2 linked regions of the Oryzias latipes genome follow. The protein of the gene in region 2 binds, or shares a complex with, the protein of the main gene of each other region. Links are inferred from orthologs where the notes say so. Each region holds a gene or a part of one and is shown on either strand. Other genes may lie near its edges.

The links.
Region 1: acad9 (region 2) and tmem186 share a complex: the UniProt entries of both Homo sapiens proteins name them as parts of the mitochondrial complex. The link is inferred for Oryzias latipes from reciprocal best matches to the Homo sapiens genes ACAD9 and TMEM186.

What each region holds. Positions count from the first base shown.
Region 1 is NC_019859.2:36,187,806-36,191,255, reverse strand, and holds tmem186 (transmembrane protein 186), read right to left. Parts: upstream 1,974-3,450; 5' UTR 1,835-1,973; coding exon 1,814-1,834; intron 1,361-1,813; coding exon 695-1,360; 3' UTR 626-694; downstream 1-625. Other genes in the region: gde1 (glycerophosphodiester phosphodiesterase 1), read left to right, coding at 2,330-2,599. UniProt on the Homo sapiens protein: As part of the MCIA complex, required for efficient assembly of the mitochondrial complex I.
Region 2 is NC_019863.2:25,296,238-25,299,056, reverse strand, and holds part of acad9 (acyl-CoA dehydrogenase family member 9, mitochondrial), read right to left. Parts: coding exon 2,765-2,819; intron 2,290-2,764; coding exon 2,211-2,289; intron 2,128-2,210; coding exon 1,956-2,127; intron 1,887-1,955; coding exon 1,813-1,886; intron 1,736-1,812; coding exon 1,660-1,735; intron 1,590-1,659; coding exon 1,519-1,589; intron 1,446-1,518; coding exon 1,326-1,445; intron 1,248-1,325; coding exon 1,119-1,247; intron 21-1,118; coding exon 1-20. UniProt on the Homo sapiens protein: As part of the MCIA complex, primarily participates in the assembly of the mitochondrial complex I and therefore plays a role in oxidative phosphorylation.

The sequences.
Region 1 (3,450 bases), on a different chromosome or scaffold from region 2:
ATTTCTTTTTCTTCTCTGAGAGCTGAGGTTTCCTCTGAAGAGTGATCCTTCCAAGATATCTATTTCTAGGATTTTTTTTAATCGTTGAGAACATTTCTTTTAGGATTTCTACAACTCATTTAGCTCAGAAAACCAATTATTGATCCTGAAACTGGACTCCGTGTGTCCAATCAGGAAAAATCTGCTACAAATGGCGGACAGATGTCTAAGGCTGAATCCGGATTCTTCCCTCATCCCTGCGGCTTCTCCCTACCCCTTCATTTAGCCCTCCAAACGGAGGGATATGGGAAAATATTGTCTCCTGATTCGGGCATCACTCCCACTCGACGACATAATCCATAGTCCCCGTCAGCGCTCGGAAAATTCCTAACATCAGTTTTATAACGTTAAAGAGTGACGCTAAAACAAAAAGTCCTTAACTTCAGTCCTTCAGAGCAAACCCAAGTGAAGAAATGCATTTCTCCTCTACAGGATCACCCTTTTGAAGGGTTTGCCCCCTTAAACTATTTCAGACCCTCCAAATGCCCCAACAATTGGAGGAATAGGGAGAAGCCGGAGGGGTAGAGGAGGAATTCGGATTCGGCCTTAGTTAGCATTGAACATGTGAAGGTAACAGTCAGGACTGTAATATGTTTACATTTTTATTAACTTCCAGCACAACAGTTTCCCCCCCCCCAAGAAAAGTTCAAAGAATTTATGTTAAACTTCCAAATACTTTCTCAAAGCCCTGTCTATCCACCACCTTTCCAAAATACACAGAGAAATACAACGTCTCGGGGCCGCTGTACCTCTGAAGCCGGAGGATGGTCTCATTCGCTGAATCTCCAGTATCTCCAATGGTCATAACATCGGAAACAGGAATGTACATATCACTGCGCTTTCCCCAGAAAGTAAGGTGGGAAACTTTCAGCACGGTTTGAGATGGATCAAGGTACATCATTCCTACAACCCTCCTGAAGAAATGGCTTAGCGTGTACAGCATGACGCCAGCAAACGCAGCGATTCCAGTGGAGTAGCTGACCAAAAAGAAGGAGACGGCTCCCTGGAAATACAGGACAAACACTGGAGGCAGGATGACAGCAGTGATGGCGGTCTGGAGGAGTTTAAGTCTGGACACCGCCCTGAGGAACTTAATGTGTGGCAGGGTGTAAATCATTGAATATTTGGGGGTGGGCGAGTCGTAGTGTCGGATCAAAGTGGGAACTTTAGCTGGAACGGGTCCAGGGTGGCTCTGAACTGATGAGGAGTGTGGAGAAGGAGGAGACTCCAAGGTGTAAGCAATCCGTCCTGAGAGCAAACAGGATCCTCTGGTACATGACAGAAGGCGGGACGTCAGCCTCCGCAGCAACAGCGACTCCATCTGAGAAAAAACTTCACTTAGAAAAACATCCTTCGAAGTATGCTGAGAGACGGAAAAGCAGTTAAGGTTAGTTTCTTCCAATATCTCATAAAGTGATTTAAAGTTACTGGTATGATATTGGTCTGGTTTAGTTCAACCAGACTCTAACATACATGTTCAATGAAATCTGGGATGGATAAACTACAACATTTGCAATACAGTCAACTAAAACAGTTGTAATTCCTCCTAAATTTGCTAAATGGTATTGTAAGTCAAATGTCTTATTCCTGGTTTTGAACTCGTCTCTGGTATCTGGAAAAGGTAACCTGCTGAGACTAGAGACAGTTCATTCTGAACAGTTGTCGAACCTCCAGAACTGTTTAGTATATAAATAAAATATAAATAAAGACGAAACATCTTAATTGACGAATGAAGTTTTGTTGCTACAAGCAAAACGTGAGGAAAAAGACTCACCAGGACAGGAGACAAGGACATAAAATAAGATAAAATACAGCAACACGAGAACAGGAAGTGATCTGTTAGCCGACCAGTGACCCGGAAGTCCTTTCTTAGTCTTTTATTTTATTACTTCAATTTATTTCAAAGTCACATTTTGTTTGGTTGGCTGGCCCACGTAAGGCGTTTTAAAGTGCTGATAGTATTTATAGCCATATTTTATTGAAAAAAAATGTTTTATATTTATTGTGGTAAATTGTTTTTATTGGTTAAAAACTACAGGCTTTTATTTTGTCGTGACTTGACGGAGCACATCCGGCCCGACGGGAGAATCGATCAGCTTCAGCCGTTAACGGCTGTGTTCAAAGACGCCGAATGTGCCGGTTTCGTTACACGTTCGATGCCGTCACAAGTCAGCGGGGCGGAGCTTGTGCCATGGCGAATATCTGTGCCTAGACAGGTTAGAAAGTCTGAGTGACGCGCGGGCGGTGCTTCCGCTTCCTCCAGCTGTTTCCAGACAGGAGAGGAGCCGCGATGCTTCCGCTGGGGGACGAGGTCGCCCTCCACTCGTTGGTCTTCGTGCTGGTCTTACTGGGGACCCGAAGTCCGCTGTGGTCTGCCGTCCTCACCACTTCCTTGTACTGTTTTCTAGCCATGTTTCGTTTCCCGCAAGTGGCGCGCAGCCGAGCCCGTCTCGTGCTGCAGCCGGTGGGTTGCGGGGCGGAGAGCGCGCGGGTGTCCGTGATCGCTCACCGGGGCGGCGCGCACGACGCGCCGGAGAACACCATCGCTGCCATCAGAGAGGTGAGACGAATGTCTTTACAGGTGTTCACGGTGTCCTGTGTCACGTGGAGACGCACGTCAGTCAGTGTCACATTATTGTGAAAGCTCTGGTGAAAACGGCGTTTCTGGTGTTTTTAACTTGATCTCTTGGCTTTTTTATGGTGATGAAGGACAAATATGAAGAAAGTTGAGAATATAACTGCTTTCCTGAGTTCTTTTTTATTCAAATCGTTGTGGATCAGGAGCAGACGAAAAAATGCTGTTGGAAAAAGATCGTATTTGTGACGTAGACAGGGGGCGGCGCCCATCGGTAGCTTTGAGTTGCTAAAGCAACTGCAAGATTTGGCAAAGCAACCCCAAATATGTAGGAGCCCCACCGTTTGAAAGAGCTTACGTTATCGGACATGTCCTGACTAGAGCTGTCCAAATCTACCATTCCAACATCCAGGGCCCTAGAAATTTCCCAGAAGTCTCTGCTAAAAAACAGTGTGCATGATGCTCACTAGATCAGCGAATATAGACCACAATGCATTGCGTTGGACCAATTATTACCAAAAACATGTATTTTTTTAATGAATCAATGTTTTTATCTTCAGAAGACGGTTGACTAAAATAATCGGTGCAAAACGCTCATAGTAATTATATTTTAACTTTGTGAAATCGATGACATCATATCTGCCGTGTAAAAAAAAAAAAAAAGTTGTGAGCATGGAGTCTGAATTGCTTTTTAAATCCAAGACACTACATATATATATGTACATATACGCTACACAGTTTTTCAGTAGTTAGAGTTGGAATTCAGACAGAGCAGAAGTTTAACTATTTAAGTTAAATGATTAAAATCAATTTACACAAAAACACTGACTGGATAC
Region 2 (2,819 bases):
CTCAGGATCTCGTTCGTGCCCTGCAGACACACACAGAAAGATAAGAAGGACCAGCCTGCTCTGTGTGGAAGTATGTGTCAAATAAAGCAACATAAAAAGAGAAAACTACATATGATGATGTAAACAGCTGAAACTTCGCTGACAGATGAGGAGATTGCAGTCTTGATGGGGAAACACTTTTGAGGCATTTATTAATAATTTCCACTTTATCGCACCAGATGTCAACGACATCCCTACAGCTGATGATTCCTGCTGATGACATGCGCCTGACGTCTTCAGCTGGGGGAAGCGGAGCCACTACAATCCAGTGACCCACAGTTTCAAGCACAGATGTAGTTTACATGTAACTGAAGAAACAAGGTCTGAATTCCCTCACTACTCACTATATGGTGCGTTAGCATTTTGTATTACAAAATAATAATTCAAAATCCTAGAAATTTCCCAGAAGTCTCTGTGAAAACTAGTGGGCATTGTTGCATTAAAACTAGGGCTCTAGTCCTGCACTATATCATATTTTATGGGTTAGGGAGAAGTGAGGAAATTCAGACATAGCCTAGGTGTTTGACATGTTTTGCTGAATATTTGAGACATCAAAACTAATACTGGTAGTTCCCAGTTTGGTTTTTACTGTGTGGTCTCTTGCACGATCTCCATCAGCTTCACAGCACTGAGAGCTTAATTGCATTAATAGTCATTGCATAAGAACCTAATGACTGATAGAAAATGCCTGTTAAAAGTGGTGATAAAATGTTCGTGTGATTCATGACTGAATTGCTGTAATATTTTATTTTTTTGTCGCCAAATGTCTAATTTAGCAGTCCTTGTACAGGTTTGCTCACTGCGCACGGAAGCAATGTCTCCAGCATATATTTTTCCTACACCAGTGTTTACATTAAGCTTTGTAAATGGCGATGTCCACCTGCGTTCCTTAACTTTTTTGCGTGTAGAAACTGACATAAATAAGGCTTCTGGTCAGCTCTGAGGCCCCAGTTTCTCCTGAGATTCGGGGAAATCCTGATGTTCAGCTTGGACAGTTTTTAGTACAGGACACCCAGAGGCTGCACTGATCGGATCCTGAACAGTGACACCTGCATACTGCAGCCCTGCCTCATCTTTACCTCAAAGATGGGTAGGATGCGGCAGTCCCTGACGAAGCGCTCATACGGGTAGTTCTTGGTGTAACCCAGACCTCCGAGGACCTGCAGAGCCTCGCTGACGCAGATCCAGCCTCCCTCTGAGCTGAACACCTGCGCGGCACAGAGACATCAGGGTGGGGCTCAAGCCTAGCACGAAATAGAGCACAGGAGGGGGGAGGCTGCATCTACCTTGACCATGGCAGCTTCCAGAGAACAATCTGGAACTCCAGGTCTATCCATCATTCCTGCAGTCAGGTAAGCCATGCTCTCCATCACAAAGGCATTGATGGCCATCAAGGCAAACTTCTCCTGCAGAAACACATGAGGACTTTTTAGCTTGGGTGTTAGCTGCTTTATTACAGTGAGGAGGCTGACAGCATACCTGGATCAGGCCAAACTCACTAAGGCTTTTGTTAAACTGCTTCCTGGTGGCGGCGTACTCAGAGGCCATCTCTGCGGAGAGAATATATAGAAATGCAGAGACTTCGAAAAGCACCACAACCTTCAGAGAATATCTGCTTACCGATCAGCTTTTTGATCATTCCGGCACAGGAGCTGCCCATGCTGAACCTTCCAGAGTTCAGGATGTTCATGGCGATCTGTTCATCACAAAGCTCCCATTAATGACCGACAAACACCTTCAACTGGTCAGGCTGCAGAGCAGGGCACAGTTTACCTTGAATCCTCCTCCAATCTCACCAATTACATTCTCCACCGGCACCGGCACATTGTCAAAGGACACCTCACAAGCTGGAAGTAGAACCAAAGCTCAGCTTCACAGACCCGACAAAGCTTGGAGTCCAACTCCGCCCCACTTACTGTTGGATCCCCGGATGCCCAGCTTGTCCTCTGGCTTGCCGCTGGTTATCCCCCCAAAAGCCCTCTCAACAATAAAGGCTGAGATTTTGTCTTTTTTGACTCCGTCCACCTCCACCTCAGTGCGAGCGAACACTGTCATGATGTCCGCCATCCCTCCGTTTGAGATCCAGAACTGACAGACAAAAGAGGAAGCTCAACACACCTACATGTAAAAAAAACAAACACGTGCACCCATGTGAGCGTCCACCGTCTCACCTTGGAACCGTTGATCAGGTAATGTTTTCCATCTTCAGACAGGGTAGCTCGAGTCTGAATGGAGGCCGCATCACTCCCACTGTAACACCAGATAACAGTCAGCCACGTGCACACAAACGTGCACTGTCATGTGCACAGACAATTCAGTGTTCTATTCCCTGAGTGCATAAAACTGTAATGTTTGTTTTGGGAAATTCAGACATGAAAAAAATTGTTTAAACTTTTATTTTGAAAATTTAAGTTAAAATGATGTTAATCGTTTGATCCAGACTCTTCCTAACAGGGTGACAAAGAAAAAATAGAAAGACGCTAAAGTGTTTTGTTGTAGAGGAAAGATTATTAAGATATACGACTACTTTCCTTCGAAATAAAAGCCTGTGTACTTTCAGTGAGATAAAAAGATGTGTGTGGGGGGGGGGGGGGGGGGGGGGCTGTGTGTACATGCATTCTCTCTGTTACTGCTGGCAGATATTCCCGTGCTCCATCACCTCTTTGCTGTCGGGCTGTGAGCAGAAACACGAATGAAGCTCCACAGAAAGGTTGGATGCTTTTACCTCCCAGGCTCTGTCAGGCAGAAGGCTGCCACGTGCTCTCCTGATGCCAGCTTGG